7 linked regions of the Xenopus tropicalis genome follow. The protein of the gene in region 1 interacts with the protein of each later gene in a biochemical or structural test. Links are inferred from orthologs where the notes say so. Each region holds a gene or a part of one and is shown in the gene's direction. Other genes may lie near its edges.

What was found.
Region 2: the proteins of hif1a (region 1) and egln3 form a complex in vitro, tested with the Homo sapiens proteins (5 studies listed by BioGRID, with this or other methods). The link is inferred for Xenopus tropicalis from reciprocal best matches to the Homo sapiens genes HIF1A and EGLN3.
Region 3: the proteins of hif1a (region 1) and epo form a complex in vitro, tested with the Homo sapiens proteins (2 studies listed by BioGRID). The link is inferred for Xenopus tropicalis from reciprocal best matches to the Homo sapiens genes HIF1A and EPO.
Region 4: the proteins of hif1a (region 1) and sp1 form a complex in vitro, tested with the Homo sapiens proteins (2 studies listed by BioGRID). The link is inferred for Xenopus tropicalis from reciprocal best matches to the Homo sapiens genes HIF1A and SP1.
Region 5: the proteins of hif1a (region 1) and fhl2 form a complex in vitro, tested with the Homo sapiens proteins (2 studies listed by BioGRID). The link is inferred for Xenopus tropicalis from reciprocal best matches to the Homo sapiens genes HIF1A and FHL2.
Region 6: of the proteins of hif1a (region 1) and usp20, one has a biochemical effect on the other in vitro, tested with the Homo sapiens proteins (2 studies listed by BioGRID and IntAct, with this or other methods). The link is inferred for Xenopus tropicalis from reciprocal best matches to the Homo sapiens genes HIF1A and USP20.
Region 7: the proteins of hif1a (region 1) and rack1 form a complex in vitro, tested with the Homo sapiens proteins (2 studies listed by BioGRID). The link is inferred for Xenopus tropicalis from reciprocal best matches to the Homo sapiens genes HIF1A and RACK1.

The regions. Positions count from the first base shown.
Region 1 is NC_030684.2:101,960,627-101,963,873, reverse strand, and holds part of hif1a (hypoxia-inducible factor 1-alpha), read left to right. Parts: intron 1-266; coding exon 267-389; intron 390-1,846; coding exon 1,847-2,208; intron 2,209-2,477; coding exon 2,478-2,586; intron 2,587-3,247.
Region 2 is NC_030684.2:113,846,467-113,850,676, reverse strand, and holds the start of egln3 (egl nine homolog 3), read left to right. Parts: upstream 1-1,410; 5' UTR 1,411-1,851; coding exon 1,852-2,244; intron 2,245-3,480; coding exon 3,481-3,600; intron 3,601-4,210. UniProt on the Homo sapiens protein: Prolyl hydroxylase that mediates hydroxylation of proline residues in target proteins, such as PKM, TELO2, ATF4 and HIF1A. Target proteins are preferentially recognized via a LXXLAP motif.
Region 3 is NC_030679.2:152,067,892-152,071,961, reverse strand, and holds the start of epo (erythropoietin), read left to right. Parts: upstream 1-1,270; 5' UTR 1,271-1,835; coding exon 1,836-1,848; intron 1,849-4,070. UniProt on the Homo sapiens protein: Hormone involved in the regulation of erythrocyte proliferation and differentiation and the maintenance of a physiological level of circulating erythrocyte mass.
Region 4 is NC_030678.2:146,984,287-146,988,422, reverse strand, and holds the start of sp1 (transcription factor Sp1), read left to right. Parts: upstream 1-1,336; 5' UTR 1,337-1,385; coding exon 1,386-1,392; intron 1,393-1,699; exon of another isoform or gene 1,700-2,047; coding exon of another isoform or gene 2,048-2,147; intron 2,148-2,474; coding exon of another isoform or gene 2,475-2,477; coding exon 2,478-2,557; intron 2,558-4,136. UniProt on the Homo sapiens protein: Transcription factor that can activate or repress transcription in response to physiological and pathological stimuli.
Region 5 is NC_030678.2:111,709,604-111,713,103, reverse strand, and holds part of fhl2 (four and a half LIM domains protein 2), read left to right. Parts: intron 1-2,807; 5' UTR 2,808-2,830; coding exon 2,831-2,986; intron 2,987-3,500. UniProt on the Homo sapiens protein: May function as a molecular transmitter linking various signaling pathways to transcriptional regulation. Negatively regulates the transcriptional repressor E4F1 and may function in cell growth.
Region 6 is NC_030684.2:22,450,482-22,453,981, forward strand, and holds part of usp20 (ubiquitin carboxyl-terminal hydrolase 20), read left to right. Parts: intron 1-432; coding exon 433-613; intron 614-720; coding exon 721-847; intron 848-957; coding exon 958-1,127; intron 1,128-1,727; coding exon 1,728-1,809; intron 1,810-1,981; coding exon 1,982-2,090; intron 2,091-2,336; coding exon 2,337-2,439; intron 2,440-3,348; coding exon 3,349-3,420; intron 3,421-3,500.
Region 7 is NC_030684.2:71,557,606-71,561,715, reverse strand, and holds the start of rack1 (receptor of activated protein C kinase 1), read left to right. Parts: upstream 1-1,310; 5' UTR 1,311-1,379; coding exon 1,380-1,488; exon of another isoform or gene 1,489-1,616; intron 1,617-1,975; exon of another isoform or gene 1,976-2,070; intron 2,071-2,245; coding exon 2,246-2,417; intron 2,418-2,781; coding exon 2,782-2,929; intron 2,930-3,115; coding exon 3,116-3,211; intron 3,212-4,110. UniProt on the Homo sapiens protein: Scaffolding protein involved in the recruitment, assembly and/or regulation of a variety of signaling molecules. Interacts with a wide variety of proteins and plays a role in many cellular processes.

The DNA.
Region 1 (3,247 bases):
TTACATGGAGTGTGATCTTCTAAATTATCTCCCTTGGACTGTGCAGTCACAGAGGGCAGAAAGGGATAATTTAGTCTTCGTCTCTTTCCATGCGTGCTTCAACTGGGTTTTTGCAGATAATTTTCAGCAGAAGTGCCTAAATTTTACTTCTGTTTATCATCATACTAACGGAGCATTTTAAATGCACCGGTTTACTGTTAAAGCAGGTCTTTATTGAGTCGTAAGTGGATTTACAGGCAAATAATTTTGTCTCTTTCTCCCTGTAGCCTAGTACACCTCCAGAATATTGCTTTGATGTTGACAGCGAAATTGCAAGCGAGTTCAAGCTGGATTTGGTGGAAAAACTGTTTGCAATAGACACAGAGGCAAAAGCACCATTTTCTACCCAGGTTTGTGATTCATAAGTACTTGTTTTCTCTACATTGCATTAGTCAATTAAAAAATGCAGTTATAAGTAGAGTAAATATGATTAAACCTTTCACCATCATCACAAGCAAAAAAGTGTGAAAAAAAGATTGAAAGCCATTTTAAGTGGGGAGATACAGGGAGGGTTCATGTCCCTTGGGCAAATGGCTAAAAGGTTTTAGACAAGGTGACATGGATATACAGAAGAATTTTTTTTTTTTGTGAGGCATCTTACAACTATGTATTAGGTGAGGGTCAGGGTGGATTGAAGAGCCGCTCAGAATACACATATGAGGGCTGGTAGAAGAAAGGACTCATGTACTGTGCAGCTTGAAGATTCCAGACATCAGACGGTGCTGCACAGCTTACTCAGGGCTCCTGCTCTTCTACAGTGTGCTTGCTGGTGAGTGTTCTTTTGGCGCAATAAAATGTTTGTGTGCATATCTGATGTATGGAAGAGCATATACAGTTGTATGAATGTATTGTTTTTATGTACTGTGCATTTATTCTTTAATGCATGTACAATGCAAAAAGCTTATGCAAAAAGCTTATTTATATGCTTGTGTAGCCTGTAGCCATTGCTTTTGGAGGTTACATTACTTACATCTTCCAGGTGTCCCTCTTCAGACTTATATTCGCACACACGCACTAGAGAAAACCCAAAGTAAGTCTCTGCTAGGGATGCCTGGGAAAGGTAAGAAAATTGGCGGCGTAGTTTTGCATTAGTTTTATTACCAAGCCATTGCATTTTTTTCTTAAGAGATGGGGGTGGGAGCCTAACATGTTGGTACCCCCAGCGATTCTAGGTTTCTATATCCTTTAAGGCTACTACATACAATTACATTTTTTTTCTTGCAGCTTCATGGCAGTCCTTTGGGAAAGGGTTTTTTTTTTATGTTTGTGCATTCTAATAAACCCATGCACAAAACAAGGTCCGTATAGAATTGGACTGCCTAAATGTGAGTGGAAGAACTGCAGTGGAATGAATTAGGACACCAGCTGCTAGCCAGACCTGATGCCCATTTTCAGTGTTCAGTCTCACTTATGCTCTTGTAGTTGAATGGAAGTAAATCTGAACCAACAGTGCTTCATGACCTAATAGAAAGGGAGGGCCAATGTCATATTAATACCCTTGCAGGTACCTGGTTACTACTGGCAATATAGTGTGCCTGTTTCCAGGTACCATCTCATGTATGTTGTTATTTTTCTTTTTGTTTGCTTTGCCTTTAGAATAGCCAAGTATCCTTTTTGTTTTTGTTGATTTTTTCAGTGTATTTAGATTTTTATATAAGTTCAGTTGTGTAAGATGTCTGTATAGCTACTGCTACTGTATTGCTATTGTAACTGAGTGCCGTGCTTTATATACTCCTTTACATTTGAACCTGTTACTGCACCTTGTTTGATATAATTATTCTCATTAATATGCATATAACTCTTACAGGAAACAGACTTGGACTTGGAGATGTTGGCACCATATATTCCTATGGATGATGACTTCCAATTGCGAACCTTTGACCAACTTTCATCTTTGGAATGTGATTCATCAAATCCACAAACCTTAGGAAGCATGGCCACTCTATTTCAGCAGTCTCTTTTACCATCCTCCAGTGATTTCAAGCCTGAGGATGCCATAAATGATCTGAAAACCATTATTCAGTCACCTGTCCATAGTGCTCCAGCATCACCATTTGATGGAAACAGAAGCCGCACAAGTTCACCAGTAAGGCCAGCCAAATCAGCAGTAGATAAAACTGAAGTGTCTCGTCCAGGAACTCCAAATTTACCTGTTCAGTTAAAGAAAAGGTATTTAATCTTTTATATAAATCAGTAACTTCAAAATGTTCACTTAAAGTTCACGTTTTAATGAATTTGCCACATAAATTCACTAGTAAGAACCTATAAATGATGTCAGGATGGGTAGCTGAAAACAGAAGGGTGGTTGTTTGAGGAATTGGAGGTTTGTGTATTAGTGCACCAGCCTATTCCTCTAGTCAGATACCTGTACTGTGTTCTGTGCTCCGGAAATGTATTGTGCTTGCACCACTGAGTTATGCCATGCTGTTTATTCTCAGGTGTACAGTTTTGGATGAAGAATTGAATCCAAAGATGGTTGCTTTACACAATGTTCAGAGAAAACGTAAAATGGAAAGCGATGGCCCTCTTTACCAGGCTATTGGAATTGTAAGTTTGACAATCTTAATGTATAATAAACAAATAATGGAACAATTCTCAATCATTTTTTTTCTCAATTATTTTTTCAATTTAATGGTTATTGAAAGCATTTTTTGTTTATCCCTGAGTCTGACTCTTAAAACGATTTAACAAAAGTCAGATCTGCTCTAGGTTAATCAGCTGGCTTGCAACATTGTTTCAGGAGTCAGAGCCAGGAGAGCAGAAAGTGCAAACATTAAGACAAACACTGCTTTCAGTTGTAATACCTGTGTGCGGGTTGACCATTTGCACCCACCCACGAATATACCTCTACTTATATAACTGTGCCCAGCCCATTCCTGATGCCATGGAGGCAGACGTGCACCTATTAAAAAAAAAAAAAAAAAAAAAAAAAAGCCTGAACCTGCCTGCGACCAGAATATGCTGTGCGAGTGTTGGCCTGAAAGTGGCTGACCCGCAGATTTCAGGCCAGCCCACACATCACTACTGAGTGTGTACAAATCAGTTTGGCATTTTAAGAGAGTCCTAAGGGGAAAGGTGGTTAGGGAAGTGGTACTGCAACTGTTATGGGCCTATTTAACAATTTAGGAGTTTGTGAATTTGAGTTTGTTTTTCGAAATCAAACAAACTTGCATATCGAATGTTCGTTATTAATATTGAAAAATTTGTT
Region 2 (4,210 bases), about 12 Mb from region 1:
GGCAATACACAGACATACGACTGCATGGTGCTATGGTTGCAACATGCCAGCTAAGCCTTGCACTTACAGTCTGTATAGATATCCCTTGCACCAGCGCACGCTGCACCAAAGTAGGTGTAATGGGCAAATTGGCACACACCACTAGAATACTGGATGCAAGCTTTTTTTTGTATGCCATTTTGCCCACTTTTACGCTTGTCACTTTTTCTGGAAAAAAAATGGACATCATCTTTATTAAAGGAAAACTACATCCCCAATATAAAAGCATAACCAACAGATAGTTTATATCACATAAGTGGCCTATTAAAGAATCTTACCTTACTGAAATATATATGTATATCAGTGAATATTGCTCTTTTAGGTCTTTTCCCTTGACCCACCATTTTGTGATGGTCTGCGGTCTCACATATCACCTGACAGGAAACAATGCAGCGTTAACTGTAACAGGAAGAAGTTTGGGAGTAAAAGACAGAACTGTGCCCATTCATTGGCTGATGGGGCCTAATGTGTATGTGTGCCTTGGCTTGTTTGTGTCACTGTGAATAGCATGATCCCAGGGGCAATGCTTACAATTATATTATATAAATATATAAACATATATTTTCATGTATTTTTCAATATATAATTGATTGTTTGCAATAGATGCAGTGTTGCTGGTCTTTTTCTCAATATTTAAACTCTTTTACCGTACACCCGGGACAAGGATTGAAGCGGTGTGCCTCCCTTGGTTCGATATATATAAACATATATATTTCATCAACAATGTTCACATATTGTTTTCTTTTAATACCATTGGCATCAAATATCATTACCAGCCAGGTGCCAACAACCCCACCAACTACAGTATCTAGCAATTGGCATATTTCATAATTACTTCCTAGTCCCATACATTGTGGTTTAACTACATATCCCATCAGCCCCCATCAGACAGGCGGCTGAAATAGACGCTTGTAGTTTAGCCACAAACTACATGTTGCCCCTCTCTCTCGTACAACCCACTACCTTATTTTGCCGACGCTTGCCACACCATACATATTTATACCCATGCCTTCCCTTTTTTTCCACCACCCTCTCCATTTCCTCCTTCGCCCCCCGTCCACTTCTCTCCCCCTCCCCTCCTGTGTTTACTACACTCAGCACTCTCCAGTAACAGGCTACATGCTCAGCTCAGATTCCTCAATGGCGGGCGGCACGCCTCAAAACGCCGTCTCCTAGCTACCGGAAGCCGCCTCCAGGCAAAGCTAGCCAATCGGCTCTCAGTTCCGTGTGTCCACCTCGCACGTGTTTTCTATTCCCACCCCCTGTGCGCTGCGGGCCCCGCCCATGCACGGCAGTGATTGGTAGAGAGCGGCAGGGCTGAACTGCTGGGGTTTGAAACCGCATAGGAAGCCACGCCCAGAGAGTGGAAACAACTCATCCCGCACGTAGAGAGAGAGAGGTATTAGCGGCAGCGGCGGGGGCAGGGACTGGGCAATATAAATATACACACATATTCCTGTGCCTCACTCTCATACTCGCACGGAGTGCTCACACCGCCGGCCGGGGCTATACTATAGGTGTGTGGGATAGGGGGGGTGAAGCTGCTGCTGCTTATGTACAGCCCAGTCACTGCTGCCTGTTTATACCCCCATAGGGACAAGACTGAGCCCTTCCAGTTACTAGGGGGCAGAGTATTTCCACTGTATGCGAGCATATAGGCACCTCATAGAGTGGAGCTGCTCACCCTGCATCTGGGCACTGTGGCCCCTCATTGCTGGGCTGCCAGCTTGGCTGTAGGTGCCTTTTATTTCACTTTGCTCTCTTTTTCTCAGTTTTGCTGTGCAAGTCCCTGTTGGAGGTCCTGAGTCCCCTATGCCACCAGGATCTCCCCCAGTAGTGTTCTCGGACATGCCCCTCATGCACAGCCCAGCTCTGGACCTGGAGAAGCTGGCGCTGGAGCGGGTCGTGCCTCGCTTGCTCGCCTCTGGATACTGCTATTTGGACAACTTCCTAGGGGAGGAGATAGGGAACCGTGTGCTGGAGAAAGTCAGGCGATTGTACCAGGACGGGGCGCTGAAGGATGGGCAGCTGGCCGGGCACCTGCAAGGAGTCTCCAAGAAACACCTGAGAGGTGACAAGATTGCTTGGGTCGCCGGGACAGAAGAAGGATGCGAGGCCATCGGACTGGTTTTGTCAGTTATTGACCGACTGGTGATGCTCTGTGGCAACCGACTTGGCCAATACTATGTGAAAGAAAGGTCCAAGGTGAGGCTCTCTGCATCTTTTCCTGTGTTTGGTCTTAGGCTTCCCCCCTTTATAAGCTGGGGACTAACAGTGAAGCCTAAGGCCAGCATACCGACTGAGCAGGTAGTAGTGTAGATTATTTCACATTGCAACATTTTAGAAATCCCACATTTCAAGGCTCCTGCCCCTGAATTTATCAGAGGTAGCAGATCTCAATAAAAGGGCGCACAAAGCCTCCTGCTCCGTCTGTTGCTGGAATGCTCTTAAGGTAGGGGTATGACCTACCTGAGATACTCAGACATGCAGAGAAGCCATGCATGGACCTGTTTCAATCCCCCAACAAGAGGATCTACTGGTAGAATTTACATTGTGATCAGTTGGCTGTATCCCCCCCTCCGCCAACAGACTGTGCTCCAAATGGAACCCAATCCTACTGGCTGTGTTAAGCTGTTTTTTTAACCTTTAGTTACACAAAACATATGGCTTTGTATGCCTCCACCCTGCACCTTCAGCATATGCCACGTATTAGCTTGCTTGCATGTCCTAAAAACTGAAATTTCCATTTTAATAAAAAAAAAAAAAAAAAAATACAATAAACCACAGGCCCCTATTCTCTTCTCATCCCTTGCCAAGTCTTATTCGTTCCATTTGTTCCATGTACCCTTATATAAGAGTCGGTGACATGTGGAATTCCATCACAGCTGTGGTCAGGTATGGGCACGGAAATAGAGAAACATCCTATTGACCCCATTCAACCAATTTATTTTATGATTTCTTGATATGCAACTTGGCCCTTTAATTTAGCATTTGCTGTAGGGTCCTAGAGAAATGTGTGACAGCAGGCCTTAGAGCCCTGTTTACCAGGACTGGGGTGGGGTTAGGGGCGTGCCCAACTACCTTATGGTCTGCACGTACATCTTGCATTAACCCCTCCAGTGCCACAGCTCTCTGGTGTTGGCAGTCACTTACAAGTCAAAGCCAGCTATGGATATTTATCCCTGTGAACGTTTTGTCACTGATGGGGGTTAAACATAGTTTTTGCACAAGCAACTCCTGAATGACAACATTTTAGGGAACACTGATACCCTTTATTTAGGTCTGCATTTGTTATTGAGCCGCCCACATGAATTCAGTAAAAGTCGCAATTGTGACAATACTAATGCATTGCATGTGCTGCCATGTACTGGTATTTATGTCAATTCACTGCTGTATATCTATTTACTGAGAAATGTTAATCCGTGCCTATTCACTTCTCAGGCCATGGTAGCATGTTATCCTGGCAACGGTGCTGGATATGTGCGCCATGTGGACAATCCAACGGGAGACGGACGTTGTATCACCTGCATTTATTACCTGAACAAAGACTGGGATGCAAAGGTAAGACGTTCCTCTAAATTCTTTTAGACCTCGTATACCCTGGTGATGAGCTGTGACTGTTGCAGTTGGTCATGGCGCTCATATCTTTAGTGTGTAGTGTGGCTCTCACAAGGAATACACAAATGAGTGGTTACACAGTGGTTGACATGTGGTGTATTGTGTTAGTACTGACCACCAGGCAGATGGCCTCTCAGTTTACAGTGTGGTGCAGCCACAGATCAACCATAGGAATGTATAACAGATTTACTGATATTGGCTGTGACAGAACACTAACAATCTGCTGGAACATTGCAGTCGCCGCTATATGTACTGAAACGTGCTGTGTCAGCTGCAGGTCTGTATGTGGCCTACAGATATTCATAGCTGGCACAAACTGGTTTCCTCATTGGCATTTTTTCTTTATGTTCAGTAGCTGCAGATTAGGTCACACGCATATAATCATCTGTGTAATCCAGGCTTTATGGATATTATTTTGCCCCCTTTGCTACCTAAAGCATCCATAGATTACTGCTACTATCAAACGGGAATTAGCCTTACCGTAGCTGAACTACACATTGCAAACTGTCTGCACTAAGTGTTTTCATTTATCTGCCAACCTGTTCTTTGGTGT
Region 3 (4,070 bases), on another chromosome or scaffold:
ATATCCAGCTGGGGGCTGGGTCAGTGACACCCGGGGGGGTTCTATTTACTTGTACTGCTGTCAGTTCAAGTATGTTCCCTGGCACCGAATGCCAATCTGTCACGAGTTCCAACCTGTGGGGCACTGCTTGCAACTTGCTCAGTCCCCTTCCACTCACCAACAAAGACGTTCTTCAACCCACCCCCCCGAGAAATCCAAATACCACTGCCCTATACTGTCTGTCAGTCTATCTCTCTCAATATATCTATCGTCATCTATTAATCTTTCTATCAATCTATCTGTAAATCAATCTCTACCTATCTCACTATATCAATCTCTCTCTCTCTCTATATATCTATCTCACTATTTCTTTCTCTCTCTCTACATATGTATATATATATGTCTCACTATATATATCTATCTCTCTGCCTGTCTATCTATCAATCATCTATTATCTACCTCTCTATTATCTATCTGTCAGTCTATCTATCAATCATCTATCTACCATCTCTCTATTATCTATCTATGTATCTGCCTATATATCTTTCTGTTATCTATCTGACTGCCCAGCTGCAGGTGTATATAACACGGGGAGGCTAATGTGCCAGTGTGTGTGCCAGCCTGACTGCCCAGCTGCAGGTGTATATAACACGGGGAGGCTAATGTGCCAGTGTGTGTGCCAGTCAGCCTGACTGCCCAGCTGCAGGTGTATATAACACGGGGAGGCTAATGTGCCAGTGTGTGTGCCAGTCAGCCTGACTGCCCAGCTGCAGGTGTATATAACACAGGGAGGCTAATGTGCCAGTGTGTGTGCCAGTCAGCCTGACTGCCCAGCTGCAGGTGTATATAACACGGGGAGGCTAATGTGCCAGTGTGTGTGCCAGCCTGACTGCCCAGCTGCAGGTGTATATAACACGGGGAGGCTAATGTGCCAGTGTGTGTGCCAGCCTGACTGCCCAGCTGCAGGTGTATATAACACGGGGAGGCTAATGTGCCAGTGTGTGTGCCAGTCAGCCTGGCTGCCCAGCTGCAGGTGTATATAACACGGGGAGGCTAATGTGCCAGTGTGTGTGCCAGTCAGCCTGGCTGCCCAGCTGCAGGTGTATATAACACGGGGAGGCTAATGTGCCAGTGTGTGTGTGTGCCAGCCTGGCTGCCCAGCTGCAGGTGTATATAACACGGGGAGGCTAATGTGCCAGTGTGTGTGCCAGTCAGCCTGACTGCCCAGCTGCAGGTGTATATAACACGGGGAGGCTAATGTGCCAGTGTGTGTGCCAGCCTGGCTGCCCAGCTGCAGGTGTATATAACACGGGGAGGCTAATGTGCCAGTGTGTGTGCCAGTCAGCCTGGCTGCCCAGCTGAGGATGTGAGTGTATAGCAGGCGCTACGGTGGATGCGGTGGAAGCGTGTGTGGCTGACGTGATAAGTTTCCCATTGTCTCCTTCCGCCAGGAAGGCTTTTTCGTGAGGAAGGCAAATCAGGAAGTCCCCCTTTCCCGTGCTCTGTCACAGTGAAATATGAATTGGACACGGCTGAAACGCACAGCTCCCTGCAAGCCTTTCTGCTGCTTCCAATCTGCTGGTGAAACATTAACTGCGGCTGTCTGTCCCACATGGCTCTCTCCCCATCAAGCCCCACAAACCTGAGGCTCGCCTAATTCCCATGCAATGCCCCTGGGCTCCTGCTGGGGTGCAGCTACCTTGCATTGTGGGGGCGCCGAGTGAACTTGCGGGCGTCTGAGCCAAACTGGAGTTCTACCGGCCGGGCACCATCCTCTTTGCTTCACTTTGGATTATTGGACAGTTGCCATTTAATGCCATGGAAAATGCAAGTCCCCTATATTTGAAGATTTGGATATGGGTGTGACTGGTAGGTAATTATTCCTGTTTGTTAAATGCACATCAGTGGGAATTGGATCTGATGGGTCAGTACCGGGACGATTGTTATGTCCCTGCAAGATCACCTTACAGCTGAGCCAGTTGCATGTAGGGACGCAGTACAGAGGGACAGTATATAGCATGCACTAATGTGGCTACCGAAGGGCAGGATTTGGCTAACAATAAGCACAGGGAGTAGTGTTCCATAACTTGGCACATACCTGCTGCACCTGCACCACTGCTAGCCCATATATCCTTCCCTAGGCTCAGGAACTGACACACACGCAGCTACTTACTGCTGCCTGCCCCCCAACTGCCAGCCCATATAACCTTCCCTAGGCTCAGGAACTGACACACACGCAGCTACTTACTGCTGCCTGCCCCCCAACTGCTAGCCCATATACCCTTCCCTAGGCTCAGGAACTCACACACACGCAGCTACTTACTGCTGCCTGCCCCCCAACTGCCAGCCCATATACCCTTCCCTAGGCTCAGAAACTCACACAAACGGCACTACTGACAGCTGCCTGCCCCCAACTGCCAGCCCATATACTCTTCCCTAGGCTCAGAAACTCACACAAACGGCACTACTGACAGCTGCCTGCCCCCAACTACTGGCCCCCTGCCCCAACTACTAGCCCCCTGCCCAAACTACTAGCCTCCTGCCCAAACTACTAGCCCCCTGCCCAAACTACTAGCCTCCTGCCCCAACTACTAGCCCCCTGCCTCAACTACTAGATGGGTATCAGGGGAGAGATACTCAGTACCGTTATACAGAGAAAGAGATGGGTATAAGGGGAGAGATACTCAGTACCGTTATACAGAGAGGGGAGAGATACTCAGTACCGTTATACAGAGAGGGGAGAGATACTCAGTACCTTTATACAGAGAGGGGAGAGATACTCAGTACCGTTATACAGAGAGGGGAGAAACTCAGTACCGTTATACAGAGAGGGGAGATACTCAGTACCGTTATACAGAGAGGGGAGATACTCAGTACCGTTATACAGAGAGGGGAGAGATACTCAGTACCGTTATACAGAGAGAGGAGAGATACTCAGTACCGTTATACAGAGAGGGGAGAGATACTCAGTACCGTTATATAGAGACAGAGATGGGTATAAGGGGAGAGATACTCAGTACCGTTATACAGAGACAGAGATGGGTATAAGGGGAGAGATACTCAGTACCGTTATACAGAGGGGGGAGAGATACTCAGTACCGTTATACAGAGAGGGGAGAGATACTCAGCACCGTTATACAGAGAGGGGAGAGATACTCAGTACCGTTATACAGAGAGGGGAGATACTCAGTACCGTTATACAGAGAGGGGAGAGATACTCAGGACTGTTATACAGAGAGGGGAGAGATACTCAGTACCGTTATACAGAGACAGAGATGGGTATCAGGGGAGAGATACTCAGTACCGTTATACAGAGGGGGGAGAGATACTCAGTACCGTTATACAGAGAGGGGAGAGATACTCAGTACCGTTATACAGAGAGGGGAGAGATACTCAGTACCGTTATACAGAGAGGGGAGGGATACTCAGTACCGTTATACAGAGAGGGGAGAGATACTCAGGACTGTTATACAGAAAGGGGAGAGATACTCATTACCGTTATACAGAGAGGGGAGAGATACTCAGGACTGTTATACAGAGAGGGGAGAGATACTCAGTACTGTTATACAGAGAGGGGAGAGATACTCAGTACTGTTATACAGAGAGGGGAGAGATACTCAGTACCATTATACAGAGAGGGGAGAGATACTCAGTACTGTTATACAGAGAGGGGAGAGATACTCAGTACCGTTATACAGAGACAGAGATGGGTATCAGGGGAGAGATACTCAGTACCGTTATACAGAGAGGGGAGAGATACTCAGGACTGTTATACAGAGAGGGGAGAGATACTCAGTACTGTTATACAGAGAGGGGAGAGATACTCAGTACTGTTATACAGAGAGGGGAGAGATACTCAGTACCATTATACAGAGAGGGGAGAGATACTCAGTACTGTTATACAGAGAGGGGAGAGATACTCAGTACCGTTATACAGAGACAGAGATGGGTATCAGGGGAGAGATACTCAGTACCGTTATACAGAGACAGAGATGGGTATCAGGAGAGAGATACTCAGTACCGTTATACAGAGACAGAGATGGGTATCAGGGGAGAGATACTCAGTACCGTTATACAGAGACAGAGATGGG
Region 4 (4,136 bases), on another chromosome or scaffold:
GTCGTGCGGACGCCCGAAAAAATCGGCGAAAATACGCTCGGAGTGTTCACGCTTTTGTAAATGTGCCCCTATGTCGTTTTGCCTCAAGCAATATGGGAATTGAGCTACATGGAAGCATCAGCAAACTGTACTATAAAATGGAAGCTTAATGGTGATGGACTCAGTTACACCTTTAGGGCTCTGGCACATGGGGAGATTAGTCGCCCACGACAAAACTTCCTGTTCGCGGGCGACTAATTTCCCCGAGCTGCCTTCCCCTGCCATCCCACCGGCGAAAATGTAAGTCGCCGGTGGGATGGCACACGCGGCGGCGCGATTTAGCACAAATCGCCGAAGTTGCCTCGCGAGGCTTTTTCGCCGATTTGCAGGGGAAGGCAACTCGGGGAGATTAGTCGCCCGCGAACAGGGAGTTTTGTCGCGGGCGACTAATCTCCCCGTGTGCCAGAGCCCTTACAATCTAATAAATACAGCCAGGACTGTTTTCTCAAGAAAAGGCATTCATTTTTTATTGAGCAATATATTTCTATTAATGATAGGACTGACAATGCTTTACTGGACTGGCTGCTTAATAATTATTGATATCAATTTGGAAGAAGTGGCCCAATAAAGAAAATAAGCCTTATATATTGTGCTCGGCTTTATGTAACCTATGTCACTTTTTTTTATTGTTGTAACTCTGATATTTATTCTAAACCTGCTATTTTCTATGCACGACCCGTCCATCATTCCCTCTCTGTATTACAGATAATGCGGCCCCTTTAGTCACGTAGCCACTCAGTCGCAACTCCGACTGCTGCCATCTTGCTTCCTATTTGCACGTAGGCTGATGCCGAATAAAAACGAATACTTTAATAGCTGTGGCCAGTTATTCTAAATAATTAAAGAGCGACATTCTGCAATTCCAGCAAATGGCGCCCAAACCCTACAACGACCAGTCAAACTTTAATTTCCCTTCCCCTCCTCACACAGCTCTTCAATTGCTTGCTTTTCTCGTATGATTCGTCACTTAATGAAACGCCTTGGACTTCGTTCGATTATGATTGGCCCTTTTCAGTGTCACTCTAACCTTGGGAAGGGTTCAGACTAGAGAGCCACCACCCCCGCCACATTCTTTCATCTCCCTCCCCCATCACACACCGCCTCCGTGGCTGGGCGGGGTCACTCCACCTCTAATTGGTCAGCCTTCTCTGTCAGTCTCCAGCTAACTGCACCCACCGCGCCACCCCATTGGGCGGGTGGAGCCGCCCCTCGGCGGGAGTGGTTAGGCGGTCTGTCGATCTCCGCCCGTAGCCCCGCCTACTCACCGTCTCCGCCGCGCGGCAGCCAGGTTAGGTTGCCATCGTCAGCCGAGGTTTGTGTGAAGTACCTACGGCCCCAGAAACAACATGAGCGGTAAGCAGGAGAGTGGGCATAAGGGCGGGAGGTAACGCGGGTTCGCAAGCTTATCCCAGAGCCCCTCCTGGCTTGCTCGCACGCAGCTTGTGTGAGGGATCGCTCCCCCTGGCCACTTTGTGGGCTTTTTGCTGCGCGCCATGACTCGCTGGCGGAATGCTGAGAGCGGCCGGTACCACCGGAGGAGGAGGCGGGGGTGTAGAAATAAAGTCATATCCGCCCTCACTACTTCGTTCGTTCTCCTTCCTCGCCCCCTTTTTACTTTTCCCTATAACTGGAGAGGTGGTTGTGGCGGTAGAACCCCTCCCTGCTGTCCTCCTCTCCCGCCCTGTTTTTCTGCCCCCTTCGGTGGGTGGGGTAGAATTGTAAAATTGCCCCCCGCCCCTCCTAGCATGGTAGCCGGTACTTTTCGTGACACAGGGAAAGGGCAATACGTGACCCTAAAATGTTCCCCGGAACCCGTTGCCTTCGCCTATAATGTGAAGCCTGCGGCCCTCCTTCTGTAGCCCCCCCTGCCCAGAGCAATCCTTGCCTCACACTGGGGATATCTGCCCCTCTGGCGCCCAAACACTCCCAGTATCCGTAGCTGTGGGGTATCTGTAGTTCCCCTGAAACCATTATCCGCCCTCAGCTCGGGCAGTTTCACTGACATCGTATGGATGGGAGGGACCTTCATCCGGTAGATCCCTTCATTAACCTGCTGAACGGGGCCGCTGGGAGTTGTAGTTTGCCTCTGGAGTTGCCATTACTCGCAGGTGAAGCCTATGTAGACCATTTATATTTATTTGTAAATCATTTTACTTCTAGAACGTACTCCTCTACAGAGGGTTGTGGGAGTTGTAGTTCCACAACAGTGCTGCTAAGGCTATCTAGGCTGATAGATGGGAAACATGTTTGTGAGTCTCTTCACTTCCAGTATTGAGAGGTTTGTGAGAGTTGTAGTTCAGCAGTCTGTTTCTAAGCTGAGGGGTTTGTGTTTCTCAGGGAAGTAGGGCCGGCCATGTTGTAAGCCTGTGTGTGCATGTTTACTCACTGCCCTCACTCACACACTCTCTCTCTGTGCTTGTGCCCTTCGCTGACAGCAGATCAGGAGCACACGTCCGATGACATGCCTACGATAAAGTCCGAAAACCGGACAGGAGGTGGATACATCCAGAAGGGGCAGGTAAGCGGAACCCACCCATATTGCATTATACACAGATAGGCAGGGACCATGCCTGGGAACTATCCAGCCCTCTCGCCTTGGCTGCCTGTACACTGGATGAGCATGGGGGAGGGGGGCTGAGGCCTTTTTTTTTTTCCTCCTTTCTCTTTGAGAATGGCTGCTGTCCTCCCACCCTTTGGCTGGCAAACCTCCCACCCCCTGTTCCTGACTGCCCACTTGGGGCAGGCCCCAGAAACCCTTCCCCCCAGCCCTGTCCCTCCTGTTCTCTCTCTGGCTGTCTCCTTGACATGCTGGTTTGTTTACATGCTGGCACTCTTTGTGCTGTTGCTAATACTGCAAATGGCACCTAGGACATAGCCGTAGAAGGGTTAAATTGACATTCACGTTCAGTCTTGCATCTTATTGGCAGCTACATTTTTAATTAAATTCAGCAACTGCATCTGCTGCTTCGGCTGGTGGGGGCCGAGTGTAAATGGCAGTTAGGGTTAAATCTGCTCAGATTTGTAGCAAAGGCTGGAAAGGCAATGCTCCACTAAATTTCACTGAGTGTTATTTTTGCTATTGTGCAACAATAAAATATCACTTACAGCACACACCCAGTTTATTCCATTGTGGGTAGTACTGTCTTTGTACCAACACCCACCTAGGCATGGTTATCTCTGCAGCTTGTGCTGTCTTAGGCCATCGCAGGAGGTGGCGCCCCCAACTGATGATGTTGGATATCTTCCCAACGCTGAACCATGTATATGTAATAGAGTGCTACAGCTATAGAATCCCTTATCCAGAAAGCTCTAAATTGCTTGCAGACCATCATAGAACTAAGTTTAAAGGGCACCTATCACCATTTAGTTTCTTCCCGCCACCAGAGGTGTAGGCTTTAGAGCCCGCATTCTGGAAAACAATAGGTTTTTTTTTTTAAACAGCCCCCACGGGCGGCCATGTTATTTAGCGTGCATGTGCATAATGAGCAAGACTCCTCACTCATTGTGCGCAAATGTGTGACGTAGGAGCAGCACACACACACACACATATATATATATATTATATGTGTGTGTGTTTCCCCCAACCAGAGTGCGGGCTCTATTAGCCTGCACCAGGATGTGGGGAAAGCAATTCGATGTGATATTATGCTAATAATACTAATTTATAAAAATGATTTCCCTTTTCTCTGTAATAAAACAGTAGCTTGTAATCGATAGTATCTTAGCTGCATAAATCTGGGGCAAAACAATTCTTTTGTGTTTTGTATAGTGATGCAAATTACTCAAATCCCTTAAACCTAGGTCCATGCATTCAGGGTAATAGGTCCCATTCAAAGCTGTTTGTTTTTTTTTTTTTTGACAACAAATTTTCTTCCATTATTGACTTTCCATTATATTTATTATTTTAATGTAAAATAAGTAATACTGTGTGTTTTTCCTGGGAATGCACACTAACATGCCTGGGCAATGACCCACCTGCACCATTACCTCTCTCACTAACATTGGGGTAAGCTAAGGCTAATGCCACACGTAGCATATGGTGCATTGGCCTGCCTTCTCCTGTAAGGTGGTCACTCTTTCTACCATCTTTCTGTGTG
Region 5 (3,500 bases), on another chromosome or scaffold:
CCGAGTCTCTCCTGGGGGGGCGGGGTGTCACCCTGTATTACTCCCTGCATGTGATTTTGCCATTACCACTTGCCTCAGAGAAGCTGTATTGTGAGTAAACCTAGTGGATGATCAATAAACACTTGTTATTTTGTTATTTGCAAGAATCTCTGGCACCCTCTGTTTTTATTTTTCTGTATAGCAGCAAGAGTGGTGTAGTAGTTTTTTCTGAAGCAAGTTATTATCGCTGTTCATTGCACCTTAGTAAATGGACGCCCTGAAAATAGGCCCTGAAATTCCAAGTACACGGAACTCCAAATACGCCCCACATAGGGTAGCCACCTCTGCCGGCTTTTTTTGCCAGGTAGGGGGTGGGTGGTGACATCACGGGGGTGGGGAAGAGGCAGGGCTGTGACTTTGCAGGGGCGGGAAAGAGGTGTGGCAGTAACATCGCTGGGTGGAGATATGTCAATCTTAGTGAGTCCTGTCCAGTTTTCCTTATTTGGAAATCCCGGGATGGAGGTTTTGACCTGGACAGCCCTTCCAAAAATAAGGCTGTCTGGGTCAAAACCAGACAGGTGGCAACCCTAGCCCCACAGTAGGGTTGCCAGATCACTTGGAAATTAAGTGACACATCTAGAAAATGTCAGTGGCAGTGACAGTGTGGAATGCCTGCAGCCAGAGATTGACAATGTGATAATGGGTGCCACAGTGAGTCATAAACTACTGTTCAAAATAATTTGCATGTACGCAGAGTGCGAATGGAGCTATAGACATACACTATGCCCAAAGTAGTTGCTGTTATGGGTTAGACACACTAGGGGGCACATTTATCAAAGTACGACAGGTACGAAATACATAAAATTCATATTTGGTCGTACTGTGCGTATTTTCTGTGACTTTTTCGTACTTTGCGCTTCTTTTTCGTGCATTTGCGCGACTTTTTCGTACTTTGCAACAAAATTTGTGCGACGAGTACGAAAGTTTCGGATTCATTCAAGCTTCAGTATCGTGACTTTCCTTGGGCCAGGTTGGAGCTGCAGAGTGCCATTGAGTCCTATGGGAGGCTTCCAAAATCATGCACAGAAGGATCAAAGTCAGAAAGGTTTTCCCGTTCGATACGAAAATTTTGTGACTTTCAGCCAATATGATATTATCGCGACTATTCCAATTTTTTTCGTAAGCATTTTCTTGGTATTTGCGATCATCCGAAATGATCGTATGTAATCCGAATTTTTCCCATCTCGGGATTCGAACTCGTACTTTGATGAATGTACCCCTAGGTGTAAAAAGAATGATATGCAAGTAGCATAGTGCAAAGCTTTTTTTTTTAATTTTTAAGGCAAGCGTTTTGCCGCAAATATATGCCATACGCCTGGTCTGACATTAGCCTAATATTACTTAGAGCTTGACTGCTAAGGGGGCATGGTTGCAGCATGTTTTTAAGTGCTTCAGATTAGTGCTAAATATTAGCACTGTGCATCCATAGTAAATGAACCCTGACAATATTTAAGACATAAAGGCGCAGGATGTCACTCCCCCCAACAGCATTTTTCCTCCCAAAGCTGCAGACATGTAGGTATTCCCATTTAGATTATATATTCTTCTGCAGCAGAAGAAAAATGTAAAACATTCCAAATGATTGCTGGTCTTAACCAAAAAGTTCAGTGTAAGCATATGGAACAATTGGCTTGTGTTATGTGCAGAGAAATTACTTTGATTAAATATACAGGCCTGCACAGGAAAAATATACACGAGCAAGATGGACTCTGTTTATTGACACAGGCGTTGGATAGCAGACTGCATGGCATCGTTTGGAACTAATTGAGAAATTGCCTAAGCAAAACTTACATTTGTGGTATGTAGCAGAGTTTTTTTATTCCCCAGTGATGACAAAGAAGTTTGTTTCTTGCTCTCAGCTGTATCAGTTTTTTTTATTTCAATAAAGACATGGGAAAATCCCATTTAGCTTGCTTGCCAAGGTGATTTCAGATGATTTTGCAACAGAAACACTGTACTCATATCTTAAAGAGAAATACAATAGAGGCTGTGCCTGCACTTAACAGAGCAAAACAGTGTTGAGGCCTGTTTCAGCACCTCTGTGGAATCTACAATAGGGTGATCAGATCACTTAAAAATTCAGGGACTTGTTGCAGGGCAGCATTGATTGCATTTGAATTAAACTGCAATTTTTTAGACGTGCCCCTGACTTTTCAAGTGATCTGGTCCCCCTATCTACAAGGTAATTCCTGGTTTTGGACTTTGGAATTTCCAGATAGGATGTCTTTTTTGTGACGTTGAGTACCATGCCTTAAGACTATTAAAGTATTTATACTTGAAAAAAACCCAACAGGATTGTTAAGCTATCAACATGGATTCTTCCTAGCTAAGTTAGCATCAAGATTTATTCCAGGGGAAAAGAACAAATCAGTTAAAACAGGACATCATTGGACATGGCAATTCTTTATTTTAGAGCTTTCTATATACCAGCTATATACCACTGTACACAGTGCCGGATTTATATCTTGGGCTGCAGTTTTCCCTTTGCCCACCCTTTTCCTTTAAGATTGCCAGGTGTGCATAGCCTATTGTGCATTCACTGGTTGAACTGTATCCCAGAATTTATTACCTGTCCACCAATAAAAACTTTCCTGCCTGTTGCAAATACAATTTACAATTTTTTTTATGTTTGAAAACCTAGTAGGTAAAGGTATGTGCTTCTAACTTACCACTGTGCAAAAATGTAAATATGTTGTATGTTGCTAGTGCAATATAAAAAAAAAACTAATTTCAAACATGACATTAACCATTTTTTTATTCTCAAAAAGGTTAAAAGAATTGTGGACTTAAAATGACTGAGCGCTTTGACTGCCACTACTGCAAGGAGTCTCTCTTTGGCAAAAAGTACCTGCTGAGGGAGGAGAATCCCTACTGTGTGAAGTGCTATGAGAGCCTATACTCTAACTCATGTGAGGAATGCAAGAAGCCAATAGGTTGTGATGGCAAGGTATGCTATATTTTCCTTTGGGTCATTGCCTGTATGGGCTAATTCAAGAAGATTTGGCATTTGTCTTTAGAAAGCTACACAATTGTTTCTAGTGAGATAATAGTCAAATAGCCAGCAAATTCAATGTTGAACCTCAGGCCCTATCTTCCCAATCAACTGCTGTGTGATAAGAAAGGGTGGATTTATCATAATTTTAAAAAATATTTTTTATTTTTCTGTCTGAATGTTTCTTGATTTTTTTATTCTTGGGTATGTATCATCTGTTGCTTTAACTTTCTCAAACAAAAACATTGTTCTCAAATTGCACAAAGTTCCTATAAACATTAAATTTTTAAAGAATTCTCAGCTATTTGGAATGATAGCAAGTGAACCATTGGTTTTGAATGGGTTTGTTGAAGTGCTAAGAGGACACAAGAACATTTGAATAGCTGAATATCTCAAAATCTCAATCTGTAGAATTTGTTTTTATTAAGAAAGACCTTCATTTTTCATATTTTCCTTTATTAAATGAGTC
Region 6 (3,500 bases), about 80 Mb from region 1:
AATGCAAAGGTTTTACTGTTTCATTGGAATCCCATAGCTCTAAGGCAATTATTGGACTCCCAGTACCCAGCGCAGCCCGTATAAATCATGCAGGGAGATGTAGCCAAACAACAGGTAGAGAGTAGCTGGTTTAAGACCTCAGTGTAGAAAGTGGTTTGATGCTGAAAAGAAAGTGGGGGTCAGTGCCCATATTTACCCCTCTAAGTAGCCATATTACCCTCCAAATAGTAGCATGGTATGTGGTGCTGCTTCCATGTATTTTCTATAATGACAAAAATTAGCGCCCTATGCCTTGGCTTTCCCCGTGGTCTGCTGAACCATGGCACAGCCTCCCGTATATTTCCTTTGCTCAAGAATAATATGGGATCTGTTAATGTTATGGCACCTTGTGTTCCCATGTTAATTCCCCCTTACCCTCCCATTGCCTGGCAGATTCTGTGCATTCACCTGAAACGTTTCCGGCATGAAGTCATGTACTCCTTCAAAATAGGCAGCCACGTCTCATTCCCTCTGGAGGGGCTTAATCTGAGGCCCTTCCTGGCTAAAGAATGTGTTTCTCGCATCACCACTTACGACCTCTTGGCTGTTATCTGCCACCATGGCAGCGCTAGCAGTAAGTATGGCTAAGGCCAGTGAAGGGTACATTATGGAGCTGTAACTTATTGTATAGTACTGTAGCCACCTACACTAATTCACCCCCACTGCCCTTGCACTGTATAGGTGGGCACTATATATCTTACTGCCAGAATGTGATCAACGGACAGTGGTATGAGTTTGATGATCAGTACGTCACGGAGGTCCATGAGACGGTGGTTCAGAATGCAGAGGCCTATGTTCTCTTCTACAGGTAAGGAAAGAGTTACTGGGTCCCCACAGGCAGGTTGGGTAATCCATAGATCCCCATTATCCTCATTCATTTGCTTGCTTGTAACTCTCTGCCCTTGTTTGGGGCGCCAGGAAGAGCAGCGAGGAGGCAGAGCGGGAGCGGCAGAAGGTGGTGTCCTTGGCAGCCATGAAAGAGTCCGGCCTGTTGCAGTTCTACATCTCCCGTGAGTGGCTTAACAAGTTCAACACATTCGCAGAACCTGGACCAATTAACAACCAAAGTTTCCTCTGTTCACATGGAGGTAAATATACACAGGTCTTTCAGTGGTTTTATACTGGCATGGAGTAATATCCCTTGCAGAAGGGATCCCCTGAATCTGCCCGCCATTGGCTGTGATATATTATTGCCAATGACAGACAGCATGACCAGATTTGGGTGCTACTTTATTGGCAGAAAACACGCCCCATGCACTCATTCCTACCCCTTATATGCCCAAATGCCATTCTGTTACCCTCTCTGTCATGCCATTCTTAATTTCTTTGCCCATCCTTCACCATTGCTGTGCAGGGCACTAATGTAATACAGGAGCATAAACAATTCTCTTGCCTTTTATTTACCCTGCTGGGCAACCAACTAATGCCACTGAGTGCACATCTCCAGAATGATCAGCCCCTCTGTTGTTGATTTCACAGAGCATGGTGGGTTGGGGGAACATTACAGTTACATTTCCCATCTCCTAAAAGTGTAGAAGTGCCCACTATTGGTAATAATGAGATTGTTTGGCAAATCAAATAGGGACATAGCAGTCACACCTAGGAACCCCATTGCTTCCCCCAGTTCCAAGAGGCCACGTTCCAAGGTCTGAACTCATTAAACCTCATGGTGTCTTTATGTTTTGCAGGAATTCCCCCCAACAAATATCATTATATTGATGATCTAGTGGTGATTCTCCCGCAGAGTGTATGGGAATATTTATACAACAGGTAAATATCTCTCAGTGCTCTATCTGCTCAGTTGGATCTGGCATCGGCATAGCTTATTGGAATTGTACATTATTGCCATATTTACTAAATATCTTAATTTGACCGACAATGTTTCCATGCTGTGCATCCTATCTATTCACTTATATTTGTTCCGATGTTTTAACCCCTTCAGGTTTGGAGGAGGACCCGCAGTGAATCACTTATATGTCTGCTCAATCTGCCAGGTGGAGATTGAGGCTTTGGCGAAACGCAGAAAGACAGAAATTGACACTTTCATTAAGGTCAGTTAAGACCAAAAGGAAATTCACTTGCACAGTAAATAGGATTAATATCCCATAGTGACTCCATAGCAATCCTGCCTAATCCCAATGCTGCCATAGTTTTATGGTATCTCTTTGTACAGGCTATGAGCAAATTTAGGGGGCTGTTCCTTCTGGAACATACCAGATGCAGTTTAAATTAGCAGTTAGCATAAGCAAAAAATATGAAGAATTCCATACACCGTCTTTCATTTGCTCCTCCTGCAGCTCAATAAGGCATTCCAAGCAGAAGAGGCCCCCAGTGTAATATACTGTATTAGCATGCAGTGGTTTCGGGAGTGGGAAGCCTTTGTTAAAGCCAAGGACAGTGGTAAGTTCACGTTGCTTCCTCCTATTCTGCCTTTCCAAGGATGAGAGCCTTCTTCCTTAAAATACTGGCTGATCTAGGACTGACCTGTTACTGGGTACATAGGAATTCTTAGTATGGAACTCCCTACACCCCTGAGACAGTACAGTACAACACCTGTAGGAAAGAGAAATATGGGCATGCATATTACCTGTACTGCCCAGTAGGTGGAGCTGTTGCTTTTCACTGTTTTCACTGTTTCTAGCTAATATTTATACCCCTAAACCAGTGATCCCCCAACCAGTGGCTTGGAGGCAACATGTACCAAATAAAGCCCCCTGTAAGCTAATAGTGTGCATAGAGCCTGCCTAATAGCCAATCTTAACCCTTATTTGGCACCTCCATGAACTTTTATGATGCTTGCGTTGCTTTTTACATTTCACTGTGGCTCAGGAGTGGGGTTTACATGACCCCTTTAAATAAAGGGAGCCATGTTTTCCTACACCAGCCAATGAATTTCATATCCAGCTATTCACATGGCTGTCCTGCCTTCCTGTTTGAGAGCCCAGATTAGGTCAGAACAGAAGCAGGGCAGCAGCATTGATAGAAGGCATGTGAGTAACTCTTGCAGCCATTTATATTAGCCACTAGAGCCCTAGTTCATTTCCTTGGGTGCCCAGATGGTACTGGCTAAAATCCCCAGCATTCTTTAACAGATAATCAAGAGCCTGCTGAGAGTTGTAGTCCATGAACATCAGGGGACATTTCTGTGGTCCATTTCAAGGACAAGGAAACCCCTATTCATTAGGGGATGCCAGTTGGTTTTACAGTGATGAATGATTCTGGGTTTCCTATGCCTTTTTTTTTTTTTCCTTCTTGTAATAATTATTTTGGTTCCAACCAAGTAAATGCACCACTGTATTTTTTCCCTAGATCCTCCCGGTCCCATTGATAACTCCAAAGTGGCGTTGACAAAGAGCAGCGGGCAAGTACAGCTAAAACAGGGTACGTCTGCCACCTGTGACTTTGGCTCCTTGGGCAACGTTTTCACTCCCTGCCAAGTCCTTATTTTTCTTTGTCTGCAG
Region 7 (4,110 bases), about 30 Mb from region 1:
ACCCCCAGAATGAATACTTAACCAACAGATAGTTTATATAATTTTAAGTGACCTAGTAATCTCACCAAAATGGAATATATATATATATCAGTAAATATTGCCCAGCTCTAACCGTAACAGGAAGTAGTGTGGGAGTTAAAGACAGAACCCTGTCTATTCATTGGCTGATGGGGCCTAGCATGTATGTGTGCCTTGGCTTGTTTGTGTGCACTGTGAATCCTATGATCCCAGGGGGTGGCCCTTAATTCTTAAAATGGCAATTTTCTATTTATGATTACGCAATAGCACAAACTACTAAAAATGTCTATTTTTATGAAAATGGTTTATTTAGATGAAGCAGGGTTTTACGTATGAGCTTGCTTATGCAATATATTTTTGTAGAGACCTACATTGTTGGGGGCTATAGTTCTCCTTTAATGGTGGTTTCAATCCCAGTTTACAGTTTGGTTCAATCAAAAATAGTGAGAACTTTGCCATAGGCTGCGTGTGGCTTAAAGAGCAGAATTTTTTTTTTTTTATAAGGAAATTGTTCAGTGCAGGAGATACTGCAGTGTCCCTGCCCTAGTTCAGGTGGGGGAGTAAGGAGCAGGGCGCAAGGTGTGGACTATAATGCCAAAAGGTACCCCTACAAACAGAGATAACTCTATAAAGGAGATTCCCCAGTGGTGAAAGAGACCCAGTGGGGCACTGACTAATATAATACATGTAAAGCATGTTTTGAAGCACTTTTAATGTTTCTAATGTTTTATTTCCTGTTTATGACAAAAAAAAACTACTTATGCCTGCCGCCCAGTATCCTCATGATAGTTACGTTTTAAACAACAATATATCCAAGATGTGCGTGTTCCACACTTACGGCAGCTAACATTCCACAACCAATATGGCGCCAGCACACAGTCATATAAGCATGGGAACCCTCTCACGTGTGCTACAATCAGAACGCAAACTAGCCTGCGTACGGTCAGCCTATCCCCGCGATTTCTCTATTTGACAGGGAAAGTAGTCACCAGTTGATTTAATAGCCAATTCTGTTCTAGCGCTTATACCTATGCTTGGAATTCACGTTGTCATTCATATTTTCTTTTTTTGTCTTGTTTTAAAAGATTTTAAAGTAGCGCGATTTTTTAGCCTAAGTTGCACTGTACGACATTCTGCAACTCGCTGCCATGTTGAAACTCGTTTCTGGTGATGTAAACAAGTAATGCATCCGGGTAAAGGCGTCCTGACGCAAGGCGGCGCAGCGCGCTTACGTCAGGACGCCGCTTTGTATAAAAGGCGAGGCGAGGCCTAGTTCAGCCTCTCTTCGGTCGCTTTAGGCCCGGTGTCTACCATCTGTCTCCATCCTTTGCCGGTGGAGCGGTTTCGGACTCATCGCAGCCATGACTGAGCAAATGACACTTCGGGGGACCCTAAAGGGCCATAATGGCTGGGTCACGCAAATCGCGACTACCCCACAATTCCCGGACATGATTCTCAGCTCTTCCAGAGGTGAGATGCATGAGACGCCTACTGTAGCCTATCGATCCACGCAAGTTTATATGCATTGCGGTATCCGGGACCCCGTTTATCGTTAGAACAAGAGCATGAATGCTTACACGTTGCTTTTTTCAGCCCTGGTAAATGTGATTGCTGTAACTACTTAGTGTCGCTGTGTGATATGTTACTGTATCGGGGCTAAAATGGCTCCTCATTCATTATGCGTCATTGGAAGTCCTAACTATAATGAAGCTTTTCTTTATCTGTCGTTTTGATTAGCAAGGGAAAGATGGTGGTAGATTTTGCGGGCTAACTTACCTTTTAATTATGGTGTGAGCGATATATGATGTATAGTGGCAGCTATTGTTTGCTAGAACTTTGTTCCTTAGCCCTTGGTACTGAAGAATTTGCAGGCTGACAATGCCATAGAGTTGTATGAGCAGTGGTGGAAGTGTTTTTTCTTTGCACATCTCATGTCTTCATTTTTCTTGCATACTAGATAACCTCATTCTTCTGGCAGTTTGGGTTGTGCAAAGGAAAAACATCTTCACCTGCTTACAGACATAAAATGAGACACCGTAGACCAATGACAAGGTATGGCATGGCTTCGCTGTGATGGCATGGTTTATTTTGGGAGGGTTACCCCTGTGTGGAACTGCCTTGTTGGAGGTTTACTGCATAGAAGTTGAGGTTACCACTTATTTAAATCAGCAATAGTGTTCTTATGTCCTTTGACTTTTTTTTTTTTTTTTTTTTCCTCTCTGCACAGATAAGACTGTCATCATGTGGAAGCTGACTCGTGATGAAACAAACTATGGGGTTCCACAACGTGCTCTCCGGGGTCACTCCCACTTTGTCAGTGATGTGGTTATCTCTTCAGATGGGCAGTTCGCTCTCTCAGGATCCTGGGATGGAACACTCAGACTGTGGGATCTTACAACGTGAGTACACTTATCCTTGTTCCATTACCTGGCCTGTTAAATGGCTGCTTTTCAGAATGTTCAGCAAAAGTTACTGATCAGCAGCAGGGAATTAGACATGGTTTCAGTACTACAGAATTTGACTTATTACTTGGATAGAAGGAATGACTGGACTAACTTTAGCATTAAGAATCATTTGAGTCCACTTACTGTCAGACCAGAATATCCCTGCAGGGGAAGCATATGACAAAGGACCAGTTAAATAGTAACCTAGGTAGAGGGAAGCTATGAATCTGTCCCTCCCCCTGCAGGGTGGCACAGAAAGGAGTGTTCTGAGGGGAATGGATACTGTCATTTTGTCATCGTGTCAAATATCCCTCTGCAGTGGCACCACCACACGCCGGTTTGTAGGACACACCAAAGATGTCCTGAGTGTCGCTTTCTCTGCTGACAACCGGCAAATTGTGTCTGGATCCCGTGACAAAACAATCAAGCTGTGGAACACTTTAGGCGTTTGTAAATACACTGTGCAGGTATGTATGAGCGTTATAACTATATTTTAGTTCTGTTGGTCCACGTGATTAGAACAATTGTATTCTGAGTGTCTAATATAGGCACACTAATTTCAGGATGACACTCCTGCAATTATGAAGGGACCAAATAAACAGTCATTCTAGGTCTTTTGGCAGGCTGTTTACTAATGAAGCTGTCTTTCTTAGGAGGAATCACATACTGAATGGGTGTCCTGTGTCCGGTTCTCCCCTAACAGCAGTAATCCCATCATTGTATCCTGCGGCTGGGACAAGATGGTGAAGGTGAGTATTTTGGATGCCTCCAGTCTTAATACGGGTTCAGAGTTTTTTTTTTTTTTTTTTTTTTTTTTTTAAATGCATACTTGTTTGGTAAGTAAAGTGTTAAGCAGCTTTAAAGCGTTTTCACTCCCCCTTTAAATAGTGCACTACTGACCCCTCTTAAACAAGTACTAAGAACTAAGCCCTGAAAATAAGTGGCTAGAGATGCCCACTTTTATATACTGAATGTTCAGGTCTTCTGCAGTTGTCACGGGAACTCCCCATCTTGGATTTTATTAGTGTCGGTGACACTCGTGCTCAGTGTGCAGTTGAGATGCTAAGTCTAGGGGTTGTCGCAAATTTTCTAGCCTGTCAATAGTTCTAAGCTCGGGAAACAGAACAGAACAGAACATGTGCAGTGAATCATCAGAAAAGATGGGAAGCTACTGGGGCACATTACTTCTAAAGGGCTATGATTTCCTAGGGCTGTTACAAAAGCGCAAAACACATAATGTAAAAATAATTATGCCCTACTTCTGTAGTTAATCTTGCAGCTCTGCTTTCAGCCCCCATACATGGGCCTACCAGACACAGCATTTGAGTGATGAATGAATATTGTAGTGGCAGTACATGTGTGGCTTTTTTTTCTATTCAGTGTCGACACTGAACAAATTAGACAAATTGCAGAGTTGCTGCTTCCCTTCTGGCTGACTGGAAATTGGCCATGAGGACTGCTGATCCTTGATCTACCAGAATCATGGAATTATTTATCTTCCCCCCCCCCCCCCCCCCATCCTTTTGTATTGGCTATATAGGCACACAAAGTAGGCCCATATGGTCAAAATTGGCCAAACTACCCTACCAAGTCATGGCCAGTATCCTCTTGCACCTTTTTAAGAATACCATATGGTACAGGTTGTTTA